Callithrix jacchus: one gene and its partners. The protein of the gene in region 7 interacts with the protein of the main gene of each other region in a pairwise test. Links are inferred from orthologs where the notes say so. Each region holds a gene or a part of one and is shown on either strand. Other genes may lie near its edges. The genes, in order: PUS7L, EIF4E, ZBTB16, TBC1D22B, ZC2HC1C, JOSD1 and TRIM27.

Evidence for each region.
Region 1: the proteins of TRIM27 (region 7) and PUS7L interact in binary tests that used the Homo sapiens proteins (3 or more experiments, as listed by UniProt). The two-hybrid records come from large-scale screens. The link is inferred for Callithrix jacchus from reciprocal best matches to the Homo sapiens genes TRIM27 and PUS7L.
Region 2: the proteins of TRIM27 (region 7) and EIF4E interact in binary tests that used the Homo sapiens proteins (3 or more experiments, as listed by UniProt). The link is inferred for Callithrix jacchus from reciprocal best matches to the Homo sapiens genes TRIM27 and EIF4E.
Region 3: the proteins of TRIM27 (region 7) and ZBTB16 interact in binary tests that used the Homo sapiens proteins (3 or more experiments, as listed by UniProt). The two-hybrid records come from large-scale screens. The link is inferred for Callithrix jacchus from reciprocal best matches to the Homo sapiens genes TRIM27 and ZBTB16.
Region 4: the proteins of TRIM27 (region 7) and TBC1D22B interact in binary tests that used the Homo sapiens proteins (3 or more experiments, as listed by UniProt). The link is inferred for Callithrix jacchus from reciprocal best matches to the Homo sapiens genes TRIM27 and TBC1D22B.
Region 5: the proteins of TRIM27 (region 7) and ZC2HC1C interact in binary tests that used the Homo sapiens proteins (3 or more experiments, as listed by UniProt). The two-hybrid records come from large-scale screens. The link is inferred for Callithrix jacchus from reciprocal best matches to the Homo sapiens genes TRIM27 and ZC2HC1C.
Region 6: the proteins of TRIM27 (region 7) and JOSD1 interact in binary tests that used the Homo sapiens proteins (3 or more experiments, as listed by UniProt). The two-hybrid records come from large-scale screens. The link is inferred for Callithrix jacchus from reciprocal best matches to the Homo sapiens genes TRIM27 and JOSD1.

The regions. Positions count from the first base shown.
Region 1 is NC_133510.1:31,796,997-31,800,496, reverse strand, and holds part of PUS7L (pseudouridylate synthase PUS7L), read right to left. Parts: intron 3,367-3,500; coding exon 3,285-3,366; intron 1,345-3,284; coding exon 1,064-1,344; intron 1-1,063. UniProt on the Homo sapiens protein: Pseudouridine synthase that catalyzes pseudouridylation of mRNAs.
Region 2 is NC_133504.1:98,583,427-98,586,926, forward strand, and holds part of EIF4E (eukaryotic translation initiation factor 4E), read left to right. Parts: intron 1-1,826; coding exon 1,827-1,941; 3' UTR 1,942-3,500. UniProt on the Homo sapiens protein: Acts in the cytoplasm to initiate and regulate protein synthesis and is required in the nucleus for export of a subset of mRNAs from the nucleus to the cytoplasm which promotes processes such as RNA capping, processing and splicing.
Region 3 is NC_133511.1:13,736,470-13,740,715, reverse strand, and holds the start of ZBTB16 (zinc finger and BTB domain-containing protein 16), read right to left. Parts: upstream 2,801-4,246; 5' UTR 2,632-2,800; intron 1-2,631. UniProt on the Homo sapiens protein: Acts as a transcriptional repressor. Transcriptional repression may be mediated through recruitment of histone deacetylases to target promoters. May play a role in myeloid maturation and in the development and/or maintenance of other differentiated tissues.
Region 4 is NC_133505.1:45,599,738-45,603,979, forward strand, and holds the start of TBC1D22B (TBC1 domain family member 22B), read left to right. Parts: upstream 1-1,442; 5' UTR 1,443-1,589; coding exon 1,590-1,645; intron 1,646-4,242. UniProt on the Homo sapiens protein: May act as a GTPase-activating protein for Rab family protein(s).
Region 5 is NC_133509.1:109,983,004-109,987,188, forward strand, and holds the start of ZC2HC1C (zinc finger C2HC domain-containing protein 1C), read left to right. Parts: upstream 1-1,385; 5' UTR 1,386-1,513; exon of another isoform or gene 1,514-2,348; 5' UTR 2,349-2,367; coding exon 2,368-3,720; intron 3,721-4,185. Other genes in the region: ACYP1 (acylphosphatase-1), read right to left, coding at 986-1,148.
Region 6 is NC_133502.1:209,578,397-209,582,387, reverse strand, and holds the start of JOSD1 (josephin-1), read left to right. Parts: upstream 1-1,191; 5' UTR 1,192-1,194; coding exon of another isoform or gene 1,195-1,331; 5' UTR 1,332-1,828; coding exon 1,829-2,013; intron 2,014-3,991. Other genes in the region: uncharacterized protein LOC144578143, read left to right, coding at 429-744, 1,195-1,331.
Region 7 is NC_133505.1:2,088,337-2,091,836, forward strand, and holds part of TRIM27 (zinc finger protein RFP), read left to right. Parts: intron 1-2,505; coding exon 2,506-2,621; intron 2,622-2,752; coding exon 2,753-2,785; intron 2,786-3,500. UniProt on the Homo sapiens protein: E3 ubiquitin-protein ligase that mediates ubiquitination of various substrates and thereby plays a role in diffent processes including proliferation, innate immunity, apoptosis, immune response or autophagy.

The DNA of each region.
Region 1 (3,500 bases), on a different chromosome or scaffold from region 7:
AGTTCTCACTACAGACTATACTCCATGATTTTTCTAGCAGAGACCAAAGTGAGCTAGGGGTCAGGAAGCTGGGTCTTTTTAATTCCACTACCTGTGTGACTCTGAATATGTCTCCTCTCCAAGCTGGGACTCAATTTTCATTTCTATAAAATGGGAATTTTAAAAAGTATATCTCTAAAATCCTTTTCTTCTATAAAATTCAATGATTTTATTATGTTATATATGAAAATATTATCCAAATTTTCACTAATTTTTAAAATTTGTGAGACTGACTTATGATAAAGTTAGAGAATAATAATTTGTTCTTTTGCATTAAAGTACTATCAAATGAAAGCCAGTTTCATTAGTTCAAACCCACAGAGATAAAAACAATCAGACAAGGAGGAAATGAAAGGATCATATTTTATAATATAAATTATAATTGCACTAATATAAATGTCTCTAAGACAGAGGAAATTATGAATACATTAAACTACATTTATATAAAAGAAATACACACATCACATGTTCCGTATACCATTATAAAAATCATATTCTTTCTCCTCTCCATATTTTAAGTTTTGAGCCAATAAGTCCTACCTTTTCTTTTCTCAGTGTTAACTAATAGAATAAAAATCAATTTTTTATGGATATTTATGTGAAAACATAGAGAAAGGCCTAGAAAGACACATAACAAACAACAGGGGTTGAGTCTCCGGAGGAAGCAGAGGGAATCAATTAGGATGATAGCAGGGATGGCAGCATAATCTGTAATGTCTTCATTTTTGTTTTTAAGGGCTGTTTTGTACATTGTTTGTGTAATCTTTTTTAAATGTGTTTTTCAAAGGAAGCTTTACTACCTATATATCTTTCACTCCATACCACTATTTTTATCTTTTCATTTACCAACACCTGTTAAGCCTAAACTGACAGCAGACTTGAAGCAAGAGATGAGTAAATATAAGTAAAAATAGACAAATAAATTAAATATATGTTGAAAGTGTTTCCATAATCAGGGCTTTTGAAAATTCATGTTTTTGGTATACTAACTACTCTTAGAAAACTCTGATGAAATGATACTTACTTTACTACTTGGGAAATTCTCGTCATCAACATCTTCATCCAAACAGACTAAATCACCCTCCACTACTCTTGCTCCATAGGTTGCAAGTCTGTAAGATACTGCTTCATTCCAAATTTTGCTAGTATATGCATGAACATAAAATATGCGCATGGAATGGGGTAAAGAGAACCATGCCTGGATACAACCTTCCTCTGTCATGCCAAAGCGATGCAATGCCTCCAGCAATGCTCTCTCCCGCACTTTGAATTCAGGCATCAATGAAAGTGTGCCTTTAGCATCCTCTGAAACAATGAGTAAATTGGAAGTCAGCCACATTTTATTTAAAGGCCAGTTACAAAGGCTTTTGTTCTACTCTCAAACTGAGGCAATGAACATGGTTATTGAGATGATATTCAATACTTTCAGTTAAACCTAGCTACACTTGAAGAGCTTCTTTTAAAAGTAATAATAAGCATAATATGGCCCTACTTTCACTTTCCCTGCTATTAAAAAAAAAAAAAGCAAGAGTCCAATATTAGCAAGTGCTTACTAGAGTCCCTTACTTCAGAATAGAGATAAACTCATGAAGTTATTCACAGGACTGTTAAAAGAAAACAAACAAAAAAACCTCAAGGATTACATAATTTAATTGCTTACCTAGTAGAGGCTACAGTTTTTAAAAGAGCTATTCTGGACATAAACACGAATTTTTTTTTTTTACTAAGAAAGGGTTGAGATCTGGAGCCTTCAGGCACACTACTATACCTCACAAAATGGGATGCACTTTGAAATGTAAATTACTAGAATCTACCCCAAAGATGCTTATTCAGGTAGGGCCTTGGAATTTGCATTGAAATAAATGTAGCAGGTGTTTCTTATGCATATGAATGTTTAAGAATCATTACCATAAGGAAATTATCTTCTAGGGACTCCACAACAGACACAAACAAGTCACTTTGAATTTTCCTTAGTACTACCTAAATTACTCACAACAGTTAGAAGTGCCTACACTGTTTTACACATTGTGGAGTGGCACAAAAATACTGCTTTCCTGTGAATAACTGCACACATGTAATATGTACATAATTAAAGATAACAAATAAATATTTGAAAACTGACATCCTTTATTTCAGTGTAAGTGAAATTCAGTATGTCAGTCAGATATCTGAATGAATCTGAAGTAGTGTGGTTGCTGTTTTTAATTATTTAAATAAAGGTAATATTTATCCATATGTAGTACATGCGAGGCATTATTCCAAGAACATTACATCCATTTTCATATCTAAATCTCCTAATACTCCTTTAGGTACTGTGATTTGCTTCAATTTACAGATAAGGAAACTAACAAAATGACGTCAAATCACTTGCACAAGATCACACAGTTGCGAAATATTAAAGTGAGAGTTAAACCCATGCAGTCTGACTCAAGCCACACTCATAACAATGTTCCTTAGTGGTTTGCATCAAGCATCCTATATATATTCGATCATATTGGCCTAAAGTTTTAAACACTGACAGGGCTAATTGGCAAGTAGATTGAAAACAATTCATAAAGTTTGGAAAATCATAAATGAACTTCTATTTATTTAAGTTTGCATCTCCCCAGCTGCAATTAATTATATTGCCATCAGTGCCAGATTAGAATTTGGAACTCTTCTGTCTTCAGAGGATTTCAGCCAAGAAAAACAAAGAAACTATTTCTCCCACTATCACTACCCCTAAACAAGAGTTAGCACAGACAAAAAAACTTCCAAATCTGACCAAAAACACAAGTGTGTAAGTCATATAATGAAATTATTCAGTATGTAACATACTATAATCTATTTCTTCCTTTTTTTTTTTTTTTTTTTTTTTTTGAGATAGAGTTTTGCTCTTATTGCCCAGGCTGGAGTGCAATGATGCCATCTCAGCTCACAGCAACCTCCACCTCCTGGGTTCAAGCAATTCTCAAGTAGCTGGGACTACAGGCACATACCACCATGCCCGGCTAATTTTGTATTTTTAGTATAGATGGGGTTTCTCCATGTTGGTCAGGCTGGTCTCAAACTCTTGACCTCAGGTGATCCACCTGCCTCAGCCTCACAAAGTGCTGGGATTACAGGCATAAGCCACCACACCCGGCCCACTGTAATCTATTTTTTTATCACATTTATGTTATAATAAATGCTCTCCTCCTGATAAAACATTTGTAGTGTGTATCTGTATCTGCATGGCTATGTATGGGATAAAGAAACTTAAATACCAGTTTGAAGATAATACTTCTTTGCTCTATTTACAGGATCATCCAAGTCTTCTGGTGTAAGAAACAATTTTATGGCTTTCACCTTGAAAAATCAAGCAAATAAACATGTGTTAATAAAAATGTCAAATTACTTTTTTAAAAAAAGATGCAAATTCTCTAGCATCCTAAAAGAATAGGCATTTAATAAATTATACTTGAAGCTACAATCTTCTCTTT
Region 2 (3,500 bases), on a different chromosome or scaffold from region 7:
CATTTCATGCTGTATAGGGTTCACTAAGAGAAAGGAGTTGATCTGTCATCATATTTTAATGTTTCTGCCAGCATCAAAACCCAATTGTGGAGGTTTTACTTTATTTTAAACAAGAATTAGAGAAATTAATAATTTTTTTTCTATGGAAGTTTTGTATTTTTGTCAATATTAAATGCTTTTGAGTCTATATTAAGACTTCAGATTTTCAAAGAAAGATTCTTTTTTTAACCCTTCCAATTTGCGTTAGTCTTGCTTTCTGGTGTTTTCAATAATTAAGTATAATTCAAAGGAATGCATTGCATTGTAATGCAAATTTAATAATTATCACTTTACCATAAAATTTCTTTTTAATACTTTATTTTAGGGGGAAGGTGGTAAATCTTTTGGAAGGTATGAAAAAACTATCTTAGTATTGTGTTGGAGGATTTAACTCCATTAGTATGTTTGTTCCGTGATTGATTGATTGAGACAGAGTTTCATTCTTGATGTCCAGGCTGGAGTGCAGTGACGCAATCTAGGCTCACTACGACCTCCACCTACCGAGTTCAAGTTTGCCGCAGCCTCCAGAGTAGCTGGGATTATAGGCATGCACCAACATGCCCAGCTAATTTTGTATTTTTAGTAGAGATATGTTGGTCAGGGTGGTCTTGAACTCCTGACCTCAGCTAATCTGCCCGCCTCCGCCTCCCAAAGTGCTGGGATTACAGGTGTGAGCCACCACGCCTGGCTATTCCTTTATTTGTATTTGATATTGCTTATTTTTGAATTTTTGCTATATTCCTTCCCTCCTTTTTTTTTTTTGAGACAGAGTCTCACTCTGTTGCCCAGACTGGAGTGCAGTGGCACGATCTCAGCTCACTGCAACGTCTGCCTCCTGGGTTCAAGTGATTCTCCTGCCTCAGCCTCCCAAGTAGCTGGGACTACAGGCGCATGCCACTACACCCAGATAAGTTTTTGTTTTTAGTAGAGTTGGGGTTTCACCATCTTGATCTCCTGACCTTGTGATCCACCTGCCTTGGCTTCCCAAAGTGCTGGGATTATAGGTATGAGCCACTGGGCCAGCCTTATTATTTTCTTAAAGATTCAAATTTTTAAGGTGACATATGAAGCTCTCTTCCTCTGAAAACTTGTCAGCCTTATCTCATATTCACTTTACTTATGAGCCATAGCCACACAGTCTAATTTTTATTTCTCAGCTCTCAGATGTGCTCATTCTCTTAACATTATCCTTTTGACCTCATGATATTTAAAGGGGTGACTTCTCTAATTTTGTAGATGAGATTAGAATCTCCTTGTTATACAGTATCACAGCCCCTATATTTACTCTTTGGCACTTGTGACAAGTGCCATTTTGTTCTTGGAAACGTGTGCATGAGTCACGTCTTACTTGAAAATTAGATTGTCAAGTTCTAAATTAAATAGATTAATTTAGAACATAATTTCTAACTATTGCATAATTTCTAATCTATGCAATATGTTCTAAAAAAATATTGCATTTTTAGTGGGCTGGGTGTGGTGGTGGGTGCCTGTAATTCCAGGTACTCGGGAGGCTGAATCGCTTGAAACTGGGAGGTAGAGGTTGTAGTGAGCCGAGACTGCGCCATTGCACTCCAGTCTGGGTAACGAGCAAAAATCCATAAATAATGTAATTAACCAGGAATATTGCAAAAATGGAAGAGTAAATTATGCTAAAAGAGTAAATTATGCTAATTTCCTGTTGTACTCTCAAGTCTGTATTTTATAATATAAAGACTAATAACACTAAATTTTTAAATTTATTTACTTGTGAATAAAAATTAATGGCTACTTTTTTTTTTTTCTTCTAGGAGGGTATACAAGGAAAGGTTAGGACTTCCTCCAAAGATAGTGATTGGTTATCAGTCCCATGCAGACACAGCTACTAAGAGCGGCTCCACCACTAAAAATAGGTTTGTTGTTTAAGAAGACACCTTCTGAGTATTCTCATAGGAGACTGCGTCAAGCAATCGAGATTTGGGAGCTGAACCAAAGCCTCTTCCAAAAGCAGAGTGGACTGCATTTAAATTTGATTTCCATCTAAATGTTGCTGAGATATAAGAGAAGTCTCATTTGCCTTTGTCTTGTACTTCTGTGTTCATATATATATATATATTTTTTGGCTAGAGTGTCCACTATCCCAATCAAAGATTTACAGTACACATCCCCAGAATCCATAAATGTGTTCCTGGCCCACTCTGTAATAGTTCAGTAGAATTACCATTAATTACATACATTTTACCTATCCACAATATTCAAAAAACAACTTGACATTTCTCTACTTTACAGGAAAAAAATTCTGTTGATGTTCTATTGTATGCAGGAGCATATTTTGCTGTTTTGAAAGATTATGATGCATACAGTTTTCTAGCAATTTTCTTTGTTTCTTTTTACAGCATTGTCTTTGCTGTACTCTTGCTGATGGCTGCTAGATTTTAATTTATTTGTTTCCCTACTTGATAATATTAGTGATTCTGATTTCAGTTTTTCATTTGTTTTGCTTTTGTTTTTTTCCTCATGTAATATTGGTGAAGGATCCAGGAATATGACACAAAGGTGGAATAAACATTAATTTTGTGCATTCTTTGGTAATTTTTTTGTTTTTTTTGTAACTACAAAGCTTTGCTACAAATTTATGCATTTCATTCAAATCAGTGATCTATGTTTGTGTGATTTCCTAAACATAATTGTGGATTATAAAAAATGTAACATCATAATTACATTCCTAACTAGAATTAGTATGTCTGTTTTTGTATCTTTATGCTGTATTTTAACACTTTGTATTACTTAGGTTATTTTGCTTTGGTTAAAAATGGCTCAAGTAGAAAAGCAGTCCTATTCATATTAAGACAGTGTAAAAAACTGTAAATAAAATGTGTACAGTGAATTGTCTTTTAGACAACTAGATTTGTCCTTTTATTTCTCCATCTCTATAGAAGGAATTTGTACTTCTTATTGCAAGGCAGTCTCTATATTGTGTCTTTTGTGGTGTCTTCCATGTGAATAGTATAAGTTTGGAGCACTAGTTTGATTATTATGTTTATTACAATTTTTAATAAATTGAATAGGTAGTATCATATATATGGAATTAAATTGATGTGGCTATCTTTGTTTTTTTTATAAAGTAAGGCACAGTCCTTCAGTCTTAGGTAAATAATGTACTCTCTTAATATGTTAATACTCATGAGAATTGGGATCTGACGCATCACCATTTGATTAGTGAATTGAGTTGTTTGTATGTAAGTTTCAAAATGATAGTATAGGGAAAAGACAGGTGGTGGGGATGTATGCATTAAGAATTTTGTTGGTGTTGCAATCTAAATCGAATGGAATAAACAGGTATTAAGCCATTTATAGTGATAAATTGTTGTAGTATGGTATTCTGTAAACTCGAAAACTTGATCTACTATTTGTAGGTATCATTTGAAAACAAACTTGAAAATATTTTGTACATAGTACATACTTGTATAGTGCTGTGAAATGAA
Region 3 (4,246 bases), on a different chromosome or scaffold from region 7:
AACACACACACAACCCACACACTAACTTGGGTCATTTCTATCCACGGAAGACTCAAAGTTATTGAATATGTAATCTAAAATCTGGACTGTTTGTATGCGTATATGTACATCAGCCAGAGACAAAGAGAAAGATGTGTGGGGCTGGGCGGCAGTGGCTCACGCCTTTAAGTTCAGCACTTTGAAAGACCGAGGTGGGTGAATCACTTGATGTCGGGAGTTCGAGACCAGCCTGACCGACATGGAGAAATTCCATCTCTACTAAAAATCCAAAATTAGCTGGGTATGGTAGCTAACACTTGTAATCCCAGCTATTCAGGTGACTGAGGCAGTAGAATCACTTAAACTGGGAGGTGGAGGTTGTGGTGAGCCAAGATCACGCCATTGCACTCCAGCCTGGGCAAAAAGAGTGAAACTCTATCTCAAAAAAAAAAAAAAAAAGTGGGTGTACACACACACTTACATAAGGTGCTGTACCTACCCTCCTACCCATAACTGAGCAGTGGACAGGAGGATCTAAAAAACAAAGAAGGATGAGTCATTAAGGTATGGAGAGAGCCGGTAGTAAATATGCGCCCCTACAGCCAGGAGTGCTCATGCTGGGCTGGGTGTGTGAACTCCACGTGTGTCCCACAGGCTCCAAGGAGTCTGCAAGTCCTGTGACCAGGGGCAGCAAGGGATGCTGGCCATGGCTCAGAGGCTCCGGACGTGGTATTGGCACCAGCATCTGTGGTGTGAGTTATAACCAGTACGAAGGGAAGACAGGGCTGGGAAACAAAGGCCTCTCCCTGAGCCTGTTCAGGATCAATAAGAGGGCTCCTGTACTCCGAATCCCGCTTAAGGAGTGTTAGAAAGACCGCCCAGGCCCAGGGCCCTCCCCGTGTCTGCCTTGCAGCGGCCAATATTGCAGTGAATGAACTGGGAGCAAGGAACAGCAAGGTCTCTCCCTCACTCTTCAAACACTGCTTACTTGCCTCCACCCCCAGAAGGAGCTCTATCAGTTCAGGAGCCTCCACGCTCACACAGAAAGGATTCACAGGACGCCTGATCAAGACACTTTTGCTGCCCACCCCGGGGTGGGGATGGAGGCCGCCAAGGGTGGGATGACCATTCAGCCGAGCCTCTCCACCTCGTGCTTTCCCGCAGACATCGGGACTTCTGAAAACTAGGAGAGAGCAGCCAAAAGAATGGATGCTTGGCGCCCCAGAACAAGCCGTTTGGGTCCTGAGGGAAATCGGGGCACCCTCAGGCAGCCGTCTTCCCCACCCACCGCTCAGCGCCTGCGATCTGGCCGGAGCTGGCTGCAGCGTCCAGCCGGGCGGCGCAGGGAGAGCCGGCGCTAACCCGCCAGAGCCTCAGGATCGACTGCGCTCTCACACGCCCCCAGTTCCCAGCGACCCCCACCGAGAGTTGGAAACGACTTCAGCAAACTTGGGGAAGCAACTTTTCCCGAAGAGCTAGACACCTGAAAGAAGGAGAGCTGAACTAGGGGCAGGGGAAAGCGAAAGAGACGGGGAGGAAAAGCCACAGCCCGGGCGGGCAGGACTACGCGGCGGCAGGAGGCGGACCCGCCCCGCGGCGAAGGGGAAGCACAAAAGCCCCGCAGCGAGTTGTGGGAGGAAAGGCGAGAAGGGGTCTGCCGGCCCTCCCTCTCCGACCCAAGGCCGTGACCCCCAGGAGGGACCGGCTGGGTCCCGGGCCTCGGGCCAACAGCGCTAGCGGCCGGCGCGCCCGGCCCAGGCTCGGTGCGAGCGGCTCGGGAGCCGGCGAGCGAGTCGGTGCGGAGCGCTCTGTGCGTCTCGGTGGGTCCGCGGGCCGGCGGGACCGTGCGCATTTCCAGCGCGTGCGGGAGTGTGCGAGGCGCTGTGCGAGCGAGCGGCGGGCGCGCCAGGGTGGGAAAGGCATCCCGAACGCATCAGGTGCAGAGCCTGGCACCCACCGAGAGCGGCCGGGAGCGCACGGCGAGCTCCGGCGTCACCGCCCGTCCCGCCGAGAGCCGAGGAGGGCCCGGAGCGCTGGAAACCCTCTGGAGCTTCCCTCCCTCCCCTGCAAAAGGGGGATCAAGTCTAATCAAGAAAAAGCCCACCACGTTTTTTCAAAGAGAAACAAAACGTAAGCCGTCCCAGTCCTGCTCTCCTCCGCCCCCGCATCTACTCGTCAGCTTCTCCAATTCTAGCTTCCCAGCCGGCCGGCGAATAAACACACAAATAAATAAACCACAACCTTATCTCGCGCCCGCGCACCGGTCGGCAAACATAAGAGCACCCACGGGCTCTGCTCCTCTGCCCGCCCCTGGCAGTACAAAGCCTCCAGATCCCCGACCCTCTGCTCACGCCCTCAGCCCCCGCAGACCGCTACGCCCCCCACCTCTCACCCCGACCGTGCCCCGGAGAGGAAGGGCTGCGGAGGCAGCTGCGCCCAGGCTGACAGCCGGGGCTCCCCCTTCCAGCCGATCCCCAACCGGTGGTGGCGACGGCTGCAGCGGCAGTAAGGGAACACGCCAAATAAAAAAGGCACAAGCCCAGCGGCCGAGTGGCCGAAGCGAGCGCGCGCCCCCCAGACCTCTCCAGCCCCGGGGGGGCTCGGCGCGCGGCGTTCGCTGGGCGGTGCGCCTCTCCCCGGCCCCTCACTCACCGCAGCCGAGCCGGGCACTGTGGGGTGGGTGTGCGTGCCTGTCGGGGGGTGTGTGCCTGTGTCGGGGAGGGGTGTTGCTGGGGAACTGTTGCTCTCCGTATCACGGCGGCAGCGACGGCATCGCCCGGCAGTTCGCAGTACCCGCTCTCATCGCCCTCAACTCCTCTCTGCTGCGAGGTTAGCAAATCACCACCGGCTGCTGCGCCTCCGCCGCGTCCCACGTCAACGCCGAGCCCCCTCCCCTGCAAGGCCCCGGCGCCTCTCCATCTTTAGTGCTGGCGGCCGAGCCCGGCTCCCTGCCCACAGCTGCCCCCCTTCCCTCCCCCCTCCCGCGCCGTCCCCGGGCTCAGCCCGCCCACCACCCCGCACTGGCCAAGCCCGCGCGCGCTCCCCGCCCCACCCCTCCTTTCCCCTCCCCTCCCTTCCCCGCGCTCCGCGCTCCGGGCTTCGCCTGACATCTAGCTGCTGCTGGGGCGCCGGCGGCCGCCGCTCACCGGCCGAGGAGAGAGAAAGCAGGGAGCTAGAGGACAGGAGTGCAGGGAACTCGGAACCCTTAATGGGGGCACCGAGGGTGAAGGGCGCGCAGCAGCCCCCACCTACTCCCAGGATTTTAATTTCTATCGGATACGGGTTTGTGCCCCCTCCCCCGCACTCCGATGCTCAAGCACGCAGTTTTGTCCCCTTTTCCAATCTTTGCCCAATTCAGTGCGTGTCATCTCGCCTTTAACTTTCTTCCTCTTGGCTCGGGGCTGCGTTCCCAGGGGCCCCTGACATCAGTTTTAAAAGGCCGCTTTCCTAGCCCAAGCCTGGGCTTCCCATCCTTCTGGCTACTGCGCGCCTCCCGGCTTGAGCATCCGGATTTCAAGAAGTCTCCAGATGCAGAATTCGCGGGCCCTGGTGAACCTGGTGCCATAAGGTCCGCTGGGATCTACTGTCGAAGCGACACGCCCCTTTTTAGATGTCGCGGTTGCTGGAGGCCAAGGTCGAGTCCTGAGAAACTTTTATCTCTCCTAGTCTTGGACAACCTCTCAGCTCTGCCCCCCCCCCCCCCCCACACACACACACACACATACAGAGCAATCTGGGTGGAAACAGTTCTCTAGAACTGCCCCCAGCTCAGCACACAGTCTTCAGGGGGCAGGGGAAAGCTTGGAAAAGCTCTGGGCCCCTCAGAAGCGCGTCCTCCTCTCAGCTGGCCGCCCTACTTTAGAGGGTAGAGCAGCCAAAGAAAATGTACCTTTCCTTCCTCTGCTCATGTGAAGGTAAAAAAAGGGGAAAAAATTTTTTGGAAAATAAAAAAAGAAAATGTACCCTTCCTCTGACCGCAGAAAGCTGCTGTCCCCGCTTTTCTCTGGAGCTGAGTGAAGATAGGGGGCCAGAGGCACTGGCTGTGGATTCTGACTGAAGCCTAGGAGGTTGGGGTGGGAGGTGGGGGTGGCCGAGAACACCATGCAGGGGTCTCAGGCTAGTCAGCCCTCGAGGTCACGCGGTTTTAGCAAGGTGGAGCTTACATCACCCAGGCCTAAGCTTCCGTCCATGACTCGTGGGTGGGCCAAAGGTTTTCCGCAGGACTCACCTAGAATCACATATCCATGCTTGCCTCTGGCATTGCTGC
Region 4 (4,242 bases), about 44 Mb from region 7:
AGACAATTCAGAGGATACCTTTAAGACAATAAACTCTGAACTGCTGGTTGCCAGGATAAGGAATCTAGAAGTTGTTTTAGATTATTACTTCAAGACATCAACTCTTCCAAAGCTCAAACAGCCAGCAAAAGTTCTGGCTGTCCAGAATACAGACAAAACATCCACCTTAACAAAGCCTTAGTACATTCCTCTTTGGGTTTTGTGTGCAGTGGGTCACTGCATCTTAAGAAAAAGAAGCGCCAGAGAAAGGCAGGTAAAATGATTAAAAGAATAGAGGGGTGACTGGGAGCTGGAGGACATATAAAGAAGGTCCTTCTTTGGCTGGGGCCAGGGTTCAGGTCCTTAAGCATTCTCCAATGTGTGGAAGGACCCATGGGATCAGGTCTTCAAGTATTCTCCAATATTTGGACTTACATGTGGTAGCTGTGAATGGGGGGTGGGTGAGGGGGTGGGGGACACGCAGCCCACCTCAACAGTCCTTGAATGGGACAAAAACCACTCTAGACTGGTGCCTGCTTTCTCTCCCCAAATCACCACGGAATACAACCATAGAAACTCAAAAACAGTAAAAAACACCGACAAGATATTTTAAATGCTAATATTAAATCTCATTGTGAAAATTAGATTGAAAATAAATCCAAGGATGCAAGATTTATAATAGATTAACAAGGGAAATTAAGGATGTTGGTGGGTGAGGAGGAGATGTATCCTTAACTTTGTGATTCACACGATGGAGCTATACTGTGTCCTTCAGAGAAATGGTACTTGGTAATCTGAGTTGGACGGCTATCATAAACCATTTCCTATACACTGTTAGCATAGTCAGAAAGTGAGAGTTATGAATTGACATCGGGATTAGATAATTTGAATTTTTCACCCACAGCACAATTCCTTCCATCGTTTTCAATAAACAGAGCGAGAGGGAGACTCTGATGAACTGTTGCTCACGTGCTGAACCGTTAGCAACCCCGGGCTATCGGATCCCTGATGACCTTCCTTCAGAAAAACGAACGGACATCTAAACGGAACGAGGAAGGGGAGGGTAAATAACCAGAGTGTCCCTGAGTTGAGAGATGTTAAAAATGGAACACAATCAACACATGGGCCCTTACTTTTAGGTTAAAGATTCCTATACATAAATACATCTCGCCCTTGCCAAAAAATATTAGATTCAGGAAATTCATTCCTCACGAAGAAAATAATCCCCTCTCTTCCATTCCTTAGGTCCCTTACTTTACCTGCTTCTTTCCTCTCGAGGGCAGGAACTTTGAGCCCCGCCTCTCTGCTCCTTCAAGCTCCGCCTTCCCCGTCCACCTGTATGCCCTGCCCCTGACGTTACCCGTTGGCTTCAGTGGCTTGCAGGATTCCGGCTTCTGATTGGCCGGCCCGGCCACGGCTTGCGCAGCCCACCAATGGCAGCGGCGCTGGGTGGAGGGGTGCCCAAATCCAAGATGGCGTCCCCAGGAGCTGGGAGTGGGTGACCGGCAGCGGGGAAGCGGCCTGGGTTGGCCCTCAGATTGCGGGGTCTGGGGGCATCTCTCCAGGCAACCCCCCTGGCCCGCCTACAAGGCCTTCCCCCGGCCAGAGCAATGGCCGCTGAGAACAGCAAGCAGTTTTGGAAGAGGAGCGCTAAGCTGCCGGGGAGGTGAGCCCAGGACGCTGAGAGGGAAAGGGGATTGGACCAAACCCTTCCAGATCCTAATCCCTAATCCCGCGGGCCTGGGGCGCCACCGAGGCCGGAAGACTGGTTTGGGGAAGCCAGGCGGGGAAAACTGGGGCTGCCTGGTGGCTGCAGAGCAGCTGTCAGGCAGAGGAGAGAACAGCGAGCTTTGGGGACGGCTGGATGTGGGTGTAGACCGGGGTCTGGGGGCGGAGGTTTCAGGAGGGGTGACCTCAGCTGGAAGGTGGCCGAAGATTGGGCGTAACCCGCAGTGGAGTTGGGAGATAAGTCAGTGTCGGCCCTGGTCTCGGAGGTTCATCCCCAGAGCTGCTTCCCACTCTAATCAGAACTCCCTCTCAGTGGTCTCCACCACGCACAGGTGGTTGCTTGCTTGAGGATGGCCCCTTCCCTTGTTCCCCTAGCTGGACAATTACCCGAAGGATTCTGGTGTGAGTTTGTGGCTTCTTGCCGAGAGGGTTAGGTAAGAAAAGTGAGGACAATTCTCAAGCCTGACCTTACTTTATCTTGAGTTGGCCCTTTCCCACTAGGAATTAATACAAGGCGACCACAGAATCAGGGTTATTCCTTTGGCATTTTCTAAGGATTTGTCCAACCCCAAGTGACTTCTTCCTTCCTTGCATTGTAATGCTCTTCTTGTGCAAATGTACTAAATTCTTTCATTCTTCAGTTGTTTCGCTGGAGAGCAGACCTCCTCAGACTACCCCCCACCCCTTTTTTGGTGTATGTTGAGACTTTTAGCAAATTACCCATCCATCAATCTATTGGTTTACTGTTTCAGTTTATTTTGGGGAGAGTCCTGAGAAGTATAAAGTAGAGTGTGTATTTCAGTCGTGAATTTAAGATTTCTGCCAGCCACAGTCTACTTGGTGATGAAATTCATGTTTGGTTGTGCCCCACGTGCTACCTTTTCTAGTGGATTCAGGTTTTTTCCTTGTGAGATCATCTTTTGAACTCGTGATTTTTTTTTGAGACGGAGTGTCTCTGTTGTCCAGGCTGGAGTGCAGTGGTGTGATCTCAGCTCACTGCAGCCTCAAGCGATTCTCCTGCCTTAGCCTTCTGGATAGCTGGGACTACAGATGCGCGCCACCATGCCTGGCACATTTTTGTATTTTCAGTAGAGACGAGGTTTCACCATATTGGCCAGGCTGGTCTCGAACTCCTGACCTTGTGATCCGCCCACCTCAGCCTCCCAAAGTGCTGGGATTACAGGTGTGGGCCACTGTGTCCAGCAGACTTTATTTATTTATTTATTTATTTTTAAGCAAGAGAGAAATGTGGGTCAATAGTGGCTAGATAAGAGCCTTAATTTTTTCTTTTTTTAATGAAATAGAGACAAAGTCTCACTCACAATGTTGCCAGGGCTAGTCTGTAACTCCTGGCCTCAAGTGATCCTCTTACCTTGGCCTCTCAAAGTGTTGGGATTTCAGGTGTTAGCCACCATGCCCCAGCAAGTCTTATTTTATTAAGGATCCTATTAGACATATGGAGAATAGGGTGGAAATCAGCTTTTAGTAATATTTATTAAAATAATAGGAATGCAAAGATAACTTCAGATTAAAGTGCTGTGGATTTACAGTGTTAATATTACTGTTAAAGATGTTCTATGTCTTTAGGTAAGCACCACTTCCTGCCAGCTGATTCGTTTTCCTTCCTGGTCTAGTGAGCTCTCTGGTTGTGCTGACTGCTATTCTCTGGGATTTTCCATAGTGAGATCATTAAATTTTGACATCCTAAGATTATAATCAGAATCAATAGGAAAACTTGTATCAGGAAGCAGTGTAAGAGATGTGCGACATGGCATGGCCTTCTCTGCCTTCTGACTGGTGGTTGCTATTAACAGTCTTTTTTCCCCATATCTCCTGTGTTTGACTATAGAAGAGTCAACATTTTAAAAGCACTACTTTTCTGAGATAGGAAGAGAAGTCTTTTCAGTTTCCTCAAGTTTCTGGATTCCCTTTTCATTTTGAAGAATATGGAGAAATTGAGAGAGGGCCGGGAACAATGCCTCACACCTGTAATCCCAGCACTTTAGGAGGCTGAGGCGGGCAAATCACGAGGTCAGGAGTTTGAGACCATCCTAGCCAACATAGTGAAACGCCGTCTCTACTAAAAATACAAAAATTAGCTGGGTGTGGTGGCGCTGTAGTCCCAGCTACTCGGGAGGCTGAGGCAGGAGAACAGCTTGAACCTGGGAGGTGGACATTGCAGTGAGCCGAGATCATGCCACTTCACTCCAGCCCGGTGACAAAGGGAGACTCCATCTCTAAATAAATAAATAGACAAAGCAAGACTCCATCTCTAAATAAATAAATAAATAAGTACATAGAAATAGAGAACTTTTGCCGGGCACGGTAGCTCACGCCTGTAATCCCTGCACTTTGGGAGGCTGAGGCGGGCAGATCACGAGGTTAAGAGATCAAGACCATCCTGGCCAACCTGGCCAAACCCCGGCTCTACTAAAAATACAAAAATTAGCTGGGTGTGCTGGCGTGCACCTGTAGTCCCAGCTACTTGGGAAGCTGAGGCAGGAGAATTGCTTGAACCCGGGAATTGGAGGTTGC
Region 5 (4,185 bases), on a different chromosome or scaffold from region 7:
TGGCTCCTGCCTGTAACTTTGGAAGGTCAAGGCAGGTGGATCGTGAAGTCAAGACTACTAAAAATACGAAAATTAGCCGGGCGTGCTGGCCTGTGCCTATAGTCCCAGCTACTGAGGAGGCTGAGGCAGGAGAATCTCTTGAACCCGTGCTGGCCTGTGCCTATAGTCCCAGCTACTGAGGAGGCTGAGGCAGGAGAATCTCTTGAACCCGTGCTGGCCTGTGCCTATAGTCCCAGCTACTGAGGAGGCTGAAGAGGCAGGAGAATCTCTTGAACCGGGGAGGCGGAGAAGAGAGCTCATGGAAAGAAAATGGCCCTTCTTTCTCACAGGAGAGGGAAGGGGGTGGGAAAGAGAGAGAGAGAGAGAGGGGCAAGCTGGTAAATTCTGCCGCGGGCAGACCCTGAGTGGGGAGTGTCTGAAGCTGCACACATGGAGAGGCTGCACACATGGAGAGGCGGTGGAGTCAACTAGGGATGAAAACGAAGAATTAAAAACAAAAACAAAAACAGGACTGACCTGGAGGGTCCACCAAGGAATTTCTTTGTAACATGTAACAGCTGTAATGTGAAGTATTAACACTGATGACTACTGTCTACATTATTTTCCATGTGCATGAATTGAGCAGTTACAGGGAATAAGTGAACTGCCTGTTCCAAACGGTTTACACAGATGAACCAAAACGAAGAAAAATAAACCTTCTTTTGATGTCAACAAGTTATAGAGTATCATTTAGTGTTGAAACCAGGTTATACTGATTATTTTTCATCTGGTAGTTAACTTTATCATCATTACATTTGGCTGAGTCATTCCTGGGCCCTAAGTAGAGACGGCCAGAGTTACCACGTGAGAGTAAAACATTATAATATCAAAATAATTAGATTGGCCACAAAAGCTACCCCGGAAAGATACAGCGTAGCAAAAACGTCGACAGCAAGTTCCAAAGCCTTGGCGAGGACAAGCAGCGAGCGCGCGCGTGCAGCCATACCTGGGGCCCGCCCAGCGCAGCCGAGCGCGCCGAGAAAGGCCAGCAGCAGCCCCGCTCCCGCCAGGCGGGCGGACGCCTGCATCCTGCGGCGGAAACACGCGGGGGCACAGCCAGGGCCCCCGCCCTTTGCCCGAGAAAGGCACACCCCAGGGTCTGGGAGCATCGTTCTCAGTAAAGTACAAGTTCTTCTTTGATGGAGCCCCAGAAAGACTCTTCCCGCCCCTCCCCTGTTCCCCAAGGGCAGGGCTGGACCGAGCTGCAGAGTTGGCCGGACACTGGGTCAAGTGACGCCCGGACTGACCGCACCCCAGCCCCTGGCCGCCTGGGGTCGCTGGTGCACGGCGCCTGCGCGCGCCTCCCCGAGGAGTTCGCGGCGAGGGGCGGGGCTCGGCGCGCCAGTGACTCCGTCTCCAGGCACCGGGAATAACAGAGCCCAGCTGAGAGCGCCTGCGCGGCCGTCGGTCTCGGGGGAGGTCAGATTTGGGAAACTGGGGCCTGGGGGTTCCCCTGAGCAGGAGCGGTTCGCAGGTACAAGTTCTGGGTACGCAGGGCCTGAGGTATGCAGAAGGGCGGGGAGACTTGGGGTCAGTACCTCCACTTCCCAAGGGCCCGAAGGGCAGGAGGGCGAGAGGGCTTGTCCCCAAAGGCGGAGTCCGCAGTGGGGGCGCCACAGTTGACCCTTCGTGACAGAACGTGACTTCAGCCTTCGGGATCTAAAACAGGCCGCAGCCAGGTCAGGTGGCCTCAACGCTCAGATTACAAAACTTTTACCGTCTGCGCCACGGGGACTCCTGGGATGAGGGTTTGCCAGCCAGGCACCTGCTCCAGGACCCAGCAGCCTCTGTGCTCTTTGGAGTCAAGCATGGTTCCAGTAGGAGGGAAGACCTGAGAGCTCTTTGTGCCACTCAGTACCTCTGGGGCACAGCTGTCTCACCTGCAAAATGGCGAGGCTGGACTCGGAGGGAGCCCTTCAATTTACAGGTGAAGAAACAGGGCCCAGCAAGGCAGAAGTCACTTGTGCTGTTACAAGCCTAAATCCTGACTTTCAATCCGATGCTTTTTCCACCTACTATAGAGTGTACTGTGCGTGGCAGAGGCTGGTGGTGGAGGAAAGAAAGCCAGGTAGTAGAAACACCTGTGGCACCTTCGTTTTTTCTATCCTCAGGGCCTAACACAGTGTCTTGTGCATCATCATCACTCACCGAATGCTTATTGAAGGGAAACTTTGGCAGATCGAGCACCACTGTCCCTAGAAAAGTTTCAGGAAATGTGGGCAGGGCAAATGTAGAAATAGTTTGCTTTAGCAGCCAAGAGTGAATCTCAGACAAACCCTTCCCATGTATCTGGTTTAAATCTCTCATAGGCGTCAGTCCAGGCCCTGAATGGCTGGTCTCCAGTTGGCCTCACATCTGCCTGTGGGCGTTATGCTCCCACATAATACAACAGAAGCTCCAGGGCCCCACTCAGCCAAGCAAGACTCTTACGAACAAGGTGACTCTTCCGAACAAGGTGACTCTTCCCAGCAGTCCCTGAAGGGGCACCTGAGGAACAGTTTCCAGAAGAAGCTTTTGAGCAACAAAGAGTTGACGCTGGATAAAGTCTACCCTCACCCCAAATGGAACACACACGTAAAAGCGCGGAGCTACTCCTATCCCCACTGTACTGAAATCAGCCAGCAAGATCCAGGAAGTGATTCCCAGGGCCAAGGAAAGTGTTCGTTTTACTCGTCAGGCCCTCAATCCTGGTATCCCAAAGCCAATAACCAGGACTTTATTCCCTTGACAAAGAAACGAGTTGGGGTGGACCGGGCGTACCCACTGAAACCTGTGGTCCATCGGAAGTCGTGCAGTATGGGTGAGGCTGGCATGGATGGGGACCAGAATGTCTACCCAAGGCCCCCTGAGCTGAGAGCGTTTTCATCCAGCAACCCTGGTGTGAGGGACCAGGTCAACTTTTCCGTGACTGGTACTGTTCTTGCTGCGGTGCAGGAGGAGAGGGCCGCGGTAAACTTCGAGAGGACTGAGCTGGTGCAGATCCGAAGACTAGAAGCTGCAGGAGAGAACTTAGAGGAGGAAATCCGGAGGAAGCAGAGTCTTCTGAGGGGAAAGCTGAAGAAGACAGAGGAGGAACTCAGAAAGATCCAGAAGCAAAAGGAACAGGCCAAGGAAAATGAAAACAGAGAGCTACAGAAAATTATGCTACCCAGGAGAAGAGTTAAAGGTAATAATAGCAACACCATGTACAAACCTATCTTCTCCCCAGACTCTGAGTTTCAGGAAGAATTCGGTAGAGACAGGAGACAGGATGAAGCTTGGGGATGGTCTCAACAAAATTCGAGTCCATTCCAGCTCTCTGATTATAGAATCCAGAGGCTCAAAAGGGAAAGGCTGGTGGCAAGCAATAACAAAATTCGAGACCGAGTCTCAGAGCCGTCGATGGAGAAGTTCTCTCCGCCTTTAGAAACACCAGGCGGTTCTTTGCAGGGATCCACCAGAAATTCCAGCCTGTCCATGGCACCAGACTCCTCAGGGTCCGGCGGCTCCATTGAAGAGCCACAACTGGGCGAGTGCAGCCACTGTGGGCGCAAATTCCTCTTGCTCAGGCTGGAGAGACACTCCACAGTCTGCAGCAGGATGCGGGAGTCCAAGAGGAAAGTGTTCGACTCCTCCAGGGCCCGGGCTAAGGGCACAGAACTAGAGCAGTACTTGAACTGGAAGGGGCCAGCTTCAGCCAAGGTAACAAGAGCCTTATGGATGTGACTTGATGTGGGGATCATTGTAGGGGTCTGTTATGTCGTCATCAGTTTTCTTTAGGGAAAATTCATGTATCATGTAGGAAGAATTGACATCTAAAATTAACATTTCTTGATTACTACTGTTTGCCAGCATTGTGATGGGAGCTTTCATGTGATTCTCTCATTATCTCTCATTGTATCAATGTAAAAATCAAGACTTGGATAGCCTAAGTGAGTTGCTTGAGGTCACAAACAGCTTTAAGTGGCAGGGTCAGCATTTAACTCTTGGTTGGAATGACTAAAAAAATCTAGACCTAGAATTTGTGCCCTTTGGATTATAAAAGTAATAAACGTTTACTGTAGAAAATTTAAAGGACACAAAAAGGAAAAATGCAGCATTTTCGTTACCTGGAGAGAACTCCTCACTCTTTGCAATGTATTCTGCCACCTCCCAAGACTAGGATCT
Region 6 (3,991 bases), on a different chromosome or scaffold from region 7:
ATAAAGACTAAATTTGAAGTGCGACTTCTTCCTGTTTTTCCAGTTTTATTAAAAACCCAAAAGGAGGGAAACTACCCTAAGAGTAGGTAAAGAGAAAAAATAATGAAATCCAGGTGCGACTGAGCGTTTTCCCGACAACGCACACAATGCGCTTAGGTCTATGCAGAGAGGAAAGCCACAGTGAGAAGAGCGGGGAGCCCCAAGGCAAGAGGACAGTGGCTTGTGTGTACTGAACCCAAATGCGACACTAAGGAACTGCAACAGGATTCTCCTTCGCACTTGAAATGTGACTCCAGCGAGGCACCTACCCTTGGCGCTCCCTGAACAGCGCGGCGCGGTCGGGCGCACTAAACAAGTCAATTTGCGCTCGACCGAATCAGGTGCTTCGCAATCCCCCCCTGGTGAGCAGCGCGTTAGCCACACATAAAATGGTCAACGCAGGAGGGCAGGACCGCTCGGCCGAGAAGCCCGGCCCAGAGAGGGGAGGGGTGCGCAGAGCCGCGGACAGTAGCTGCTGGTCTGACGGCCGCCCCGGAACAACGCCCACACCCGGGAGAAGGGCAGGCGGGCGTTCTGGCAGGACTCCCTCAGGCCGCCCCGCCCCTCCTGGGACGGCGCCGAGCCGAGCCGCCAGACCCCGGCCCGGCCGGCCGCCGCCGAGCTCCGCAGCCCAACACCGGAGGCCCCTGCAACAGCCCAAACCCTCATCGGCGCCGGGACTCGCCAGGCATCCGTTGCTCGCAGGCAGGCTTCGATGACGTCATCCGTGACGCCACGGCGGGGAGGAGCGGGAGGGCGTTTCCGGGGCACGCGCCGGGAGGGGGCCGCTGACGTCGGGCTCAGGTGCGCGCGCCCGCCCGCCCGCCCGCGCGGCCCAGTTGGCGGCCCGCACTCCAGGTGGAGGCCGGCGGCGGTGAGGGGCGGTCGGCGGCGAGCAATCCCCGGGGCGCTGGGGGCTGCAGCCGGGGGCGCGGCGGGAGGGCGTCCGGGCCTGCGCTCACGTGACGGGCCGGGAGGTTGGGGTGGGGGCGGCGAGCCGGGCGGGCCGGAGCCCTGGAGCGCTAGGCGGACTCTGCGGCCCCACCCCTCGCGGGCCTGGCTGCTGCGGCGCGGAACCTTCCCTCCGGCAGGGGCTGGCCCCGCCGCGCACTTCCCGCGCCCGCTCGCCGCTGACCTGAGTTGTCTCCTTCGCAGGGCCGCGGCCAGAGGGCGAGAGTCCGCGCCTTCCGAGGGAGTCGCGTCCTGCGGGCCCCAGCGCACCCGAGGGGATGGAGGGCTGCCCCCGAGGCCCCCGCGCGGCCCGCGATCCCACGCCCGCGGGCCCGCGCTAGCTGCTCGATTCGTGCGCTTTATCAGCCACCCAGGCCTTGTCTCCCGAATCAGTGGCGTCGTGGTTCGAAAGAAATGGAAGAAAAGGAGCGATGTGACCGATTGTGTTCGGTCCTCCTGCTTTGAGGCCTGGCATTTGCAGAGGGAAACAGCAAGAAAATCGTGGGGTTTTTGGAGAGGGGTGGGAGGGAAGGGTGGGGAAAGGGAAAAAAGGTCTTAGATTTTATGTGTTTTTTAATTTTCTAAATTCTGCACTTTGACAGTGGTAGCAAAATAAAACTAATCCAAAAGTTATTTTTCTATTGAGAAGAGAGAAGAGGTGGGTTTTTTTTTTTTTCTTTTCATTCCAATCTTTTCTCCCAGTGACAAAGCATAAATCATGGACACCAGAGAATAAGGTGGACCTCAGGAATCCTGAAAAGACTGAGAAGCTTACATTCTTCCACTGGAGGGAAGAGTGGGGTGTTTTTAGCCATCTCTGGAACCTAAAAGAAAAAACATGAGTTGTGTGCCATGGAAAGGAGACAAGGCCAAATCTGAATCATTGGAGCTGCCCCAGGCAGCACCCCCACAAATCTACCATGAGAAACAGCGCAGGGAGCTTTGTGCCCTCCACGCCCTCAATAACGTCTTCCAGGACAGCAATGCCTTCACCCGGGATACGCTGCAAGAGATTTTCCAGAGGTAGGGACCCTTCTCCTTGGCATCTTGATACTTACTGATATTTCTGGATTTCTGTGGGTGGGGCAATATCTCAGCTTCATCGGCCTTCAAGTCTGTACGTATTAGCTAGATGCCATTAGCAGGTGTAAGGGACACGCGACAGGAAAAGATAATCACTACCATTTATCTGGCACGTACTGTGGGCTAAGCACAATGCTCATAGCCTCTGCTGTTTTCTTGAGTGATCTGCTCAGCAGTCCCATGGAAGACATGTTAATACCTGGAGTTATTTCCATTTTAATGATGAAGACAGCATTTAGTTCAGTACTTTGCCCAAGGTAACAAGACTTGGAGCTGGGTTGAATTCTTTTAAGTACGCTGTTGACCACTAGGTTTAATGCCTCTAAAGTTCTCCTGCCGGGGAGTTTACGATCTAGAAGTGGGACAAGATCCATTCAGTCACCTGTCATCAAAGGTTGAATTTGGGGGATACCACAAGCAAGATGTGTACACAGTGCTCAGCATTTCTGTGAGGCCAGGTGCTGGCAGTGGGGCTTTTCGTACATTGCTTTGTGTAGCCCTCCTAGCATTCATCTCACTGCCTGTATTTTACTGATAAATAGCCAGAAAGGTGAGGTAATATGTTCAAATAGCTTCTAAATAGATAGCAAAGCTATAATTTGAAGCTGACTCTGGATCCCCTCCTCTTTTTCCTTTATTCTAGATGGTCTTCCTTACCCACTTAGAACAAATGGCACTCCACAGGTTGATAGTTCAGCTTTTGGCCAAGCACCATGGCTCATGCCTGTAATCCCAGCACTTTGGAAGGCCAAGGCGGGTGGAATCACCTAAGTCCTGGAGTTTGAGACCAGTCTGGCCAACATGGTGAAACCCTGTCTCTACTAAAAATACAAAAATTAGTTGGGTGTGGTAGTGCATGCCTGTAGCCCTAGCTACTCGGGAGGCTGAGGCAGGAGAATCACTTGCACCAGGAGGTGGAGGTTGCAGTGAACCAATATCCCACCACTGTACTCCAGCCTGGGTGACAGGTCTTGGGGAAAAAAAAAAAGAGTTCAGCTTTATTCTCTTTGCTCTCATTTTCTTTTCTTCTTTTTTGAGACGGAGTTTCGCTCGTTACCCAGGCTGGAGTGCAATGGCACGATCTTGGCTTACCGCAACCTCCACCTCCTGGGTTCAAGCAATTCTCCTGCCTCAGCCTCCCGAATAGCTGGGACTACAGGCACGTGCCACCATGCCCAGCTAATTTTTGTGTTTTTAGTAGAGACGAGGTTTCACCATATTGACCAGGATGGTCTCGATCTCTTGATCTCGTGATCCACCCTCCTCGGCCTCCCAAAGTGCTGGGATTATAGCCTGCTCTCATTTTCTAGAATTGCTTTGTTAAAGGTTTTGAGAATCACTTATGTCGTGTCTTGATGAACACAACAGCATGTCTGCGGTCCGTAGCAACTCTGGTGGTGATGTTGCCTGATGACCCCAACTAGAAAGGGTTAGGCCCACTCAGTCCTCATTGCAGAAAAGCTCAAGCATTCTTTGAGCAGTGCTTATTGGCATTTCCAGAAGACGTTTTTCTTACTCTCTTAGCTTGTAAATGAAGTTATTGCCACATAGGGACCAGAATTACAGCTGGAAGCAATCTATTTGGGGTGATTTGTAAAAACACAGGTACGGATCATTTGCCCTGAAAGAGCCAGAGGCCTACTCTTAAAAGAATGTTAATCCCCATATGCAGACAAAACTATAATGAGAGTAATTATTTTCCAATGCCAGTAGTAACCAGAGTAATGCCTTAGCATTGAGCAAATGCGTTGTTTGCATCACGGCCATAATCTGGCAGCAAGTAGAGTTGACTCTGCAGGACCTGGGGTGTGGGAGATAAGATCGTTTGTCTCAGATCATCAGATCATGTCACTGAAAGGAGGATCCAGTACGTTGGACTGCTTTCTTTTGACCAGCCGTTAGTATTTCTCCTACTTCT
Region 7 (3,500 bases):
GGTGAGTCGAGATCACACCATTGCACTCCAGCCTGGGTAACGAGCGAAACTCCATCTCAAAAAAAAAAAAAATCAAATATGAGAAGACTGTCTCCTTCACATTTGTGAATCCTGAAAAGAGCCCTGAGCCTGAGAATGGGCATCTTATCAAATTGATGTATCCCTGAAAAGAGTCACTAGTATGCAAAGAATTATATGAACCACAGCTCTTCTCAGTAAAATTCAGGGAGTGGGCGGCTGCTGGTGGATTAGGGATATGAGGACACTTCCATGGAGAGAGTGTAGCCTTACCGGGACCTGGGCTGAGTATAAGGGTAGTTTATGATTGTTGCTTCCTACACGTTTCACAGTCTTTTCCCCCTTCATTGTCTTTCTCTCTTTTTTTCTATAACGGGGGAAATAAGGCCTAAGAAAGGTGTGACTGACCTAGATTTACATAATTACGGATGAGCCACCTGGATTCTGGCTCTTATTTTTGCTATTCTCTGTTCCATCAAAAAGAAAGTGAGGAAGAGCTCCCTGGCAGCTGGACATGACCAGAAAGGGAGAGCTTGAAGGGGGCAGCAAGCCAGGGCAGAGTTGTATTTGCAGGAAGGATGACTAGGCGAGTAGGATGGTCCTTGGGAAGCTTATGTCTGGTGCAGGAAGTGCCTTCCAGGTGGAACCTGACTTTGAGGGAGCTGTACTTTGAAGGTGATTAAGACCCTGAATAGTGAAACCCCCTAAAGCAAAATACAGCTTGACTATGTGGGAGCATTTAAAGATATGGGGGAGGGCCTTATAGATGGGGCTGGGAGGCCTGTGTTGATAGAATCACGTTGATGGAATTGAGGTTCCTGAGGGACCCTAAGATGGAGTGGTGGAGTTTATACTAGTCCCAGCCACATGACCCAAGCAAATCTCCTGTTACCTGCTACTTCATGATGCCAGTCTAGCTCCAGCCTAACATACGCAGTTAGCTCCCTCGGACCATAGCAGTTTGTGACATTAAAGATTGAATTTGGCTGTATAAGATAGAAAACCCAAAATGTTATTGGCTTAAGGCTTAAACATGATAAAATTTTTCTTACCATAAAAGAAATGTGCAGGCTGGGCGCGGTGGCTCACACCTGTAATCCCAGCATTTTAGGAGGCAGGGCAGGTGGATCACCTGAGGTCAGGAGTTCGAGACCAGCCTGGCCATTATGATGAAACACCTTCTCTACTAAAAATACAAAAGTTAGCCAGGCATGGTGGCACATGCCTGTAATCCCAGCTACTGGGGAGGCTGAGGCAGGAGAATTGCTTGAACTTGGTGGCGGAGTTTGCAATGAGGTGAAATTGCGCTACTGCACTCCAGCCTGGGCGACAGAGCCAGACTCCATCTCAGAAAAAGAGAAATGTGCAGGTAGGTAGCCTGTGACTAGTATGGTAACTGCAGCGATCCTCAGAGACTCAGGTTTCTTCCCATTCACTGTTCTACCATCCCTAAGGTGTGGTTCTTGTGGAGTCCACAGTAGCTGGTAGAAAGCCACACAAGAGGAATGAGATAAGTCACATGACATTACTTTTTTTTCTTCATTTTTCTTTTTTGTAGAGGCAAGGTCTCATCATGTTGCCCAGGCTGGTCTTGAACTCCTAGCCTCAAAGCAGTTCTCCCACCTCAGCCTCCCAAAGTATTGGAATGGCAGGCATGAGCCACTGTTCCTAGTCATGTTACTTTTTTAAGCAGACTTCTCAAAACACCATGAGATGCATCTTACCTCTCATAGGCCGGAACTCAGTCACTAGGTCACATGCAGCGATGAGGGACTGGGCAGCTGTGAGCCATTAAAGGTGAAAGGTGGTAGAAGGGGTATTGGGTGGCCAACTGGCAGTCTTTGCCATAGACAGCCTTGCAGGGCAAGGGAATTGGGTATTGTCCCCCACAGTGCCTTTCTGTCTGAACATGCCATTCTCTCCGTATTTGGGAACCTGAGAATTCGGGGTAATTGCCCACCATAAATATCAAAGATTAGTGCTTTCCGGCAAAGTCAGCCTCGTATGTAATTCAGTAAATTGTTCTGGGTACTGAATATTTGGAAAGCTGTGAGCTACCTGCTTTGGGGGTTATAAGAATGAGTGCAGGCCAGGCGTGGTGGCTCACACCTATAATCCCAGCACTTTGGGAGGCTGAGGCGGGTGGATCATGAGGTCAAGAGATCAAGACCATCCTGGGCAACAAGGTGAAACCCCGTCTCTACTAAAAATACAAAAATTAACTGGGCATGGTGGTGTGCGCCTGTAGTCCCAGCTACTCTGGAGGCTGAGGCAGGAGAATTGCCTGAACCCAGGAGGTGGAGGTTGCGGTGAGCCGAGATCGCACCATTGCACTCCAGCCTGGGAAACAACAGCGAAACTCCGTCTCAAAAAAAAAAAAAAAAGACTGTCCATCTGTGCTGGACAGTTTAGCTTAGGCAGTCCTGGTTCTTAGAAGGTCATGGAATTGAGGAAAATAATTTATTTACTCACATTTTTTCAATTTAGGGCTGAAAGAATCAGGATTCCTGAACCTTGGATCACGCCTCCAGATTTGCAAGAGAAAATCCACATTTTTGCCCAAAAATGTCTCTTCTTGACGGAAGGGCTAAAGCAGTTCACAGGTAACGTGCGGGGAGATGTCATGAGGGAGACGGATTTATACTCAATGTCTGCATATTCCCTGATGAAAAGATATATTTTCCAGCCAGATAGTGGGATGCAAACTGAATATTTTCTTGTTTTCTTTTCCTAGAAAAAATGCAGTCCGATATGGAGAAAATCCAAGGTAAATTTATCTACCTCCTGGGCTTTTGATGTAAAGTTGCTTGGAAAGAACATCTGCACTGAAAGTGCGGAAAATGGGATAAGGCTGCTACCCATTGGCCAGCCTTCCCTGATGTTTCACTTCTTCCCTGTGGCCTTAATTTTCTCAGTTAACAGCCTGTTAACTGTATTTAGTCAGTTCTCAGTCTGCATTGATGGAGGCAAAAAAATCAGCCACCCAAAAATTAATCCACAATTAATTTGATTTTTCAGGAAAGAGTATGAACAAAATCTGTCCTGGTTACTTGAGCCAGTATTTATCTTTGTAATTTACTGAGTTCCTACTGCTTGTGGGCACAAGCGCCAGCTCCTGTAGGAGGAACTGAGCCGTGCTGACGGGCACATGCTTAGGAGCGGGCAGTCAGGAGTCCAGCCGCCTGGGCTCTGGGCCCAGCTGTACCACTTAGTAAGGATTCTACAGGCAGTTTTCTCATCGTAACATGAGGACAATAATAGTTCTTACCTCCTAAGATACAAGAATAGGGTTACATTTCTAACACTTGTAGAATACAACTAGACACATAAGTCCCATATGTGAGTTTATTAAATAAGGTGTTCTAGGCATTTGGAGAAGTTTCTCCAAATTTAAATTCTTCTGCTCACGATCCACATTCAGTAAAGGGTTGGCCATATATTGAATTCTAAAATTCCTGGGCAGTCTGGTGGATTCTGAAATC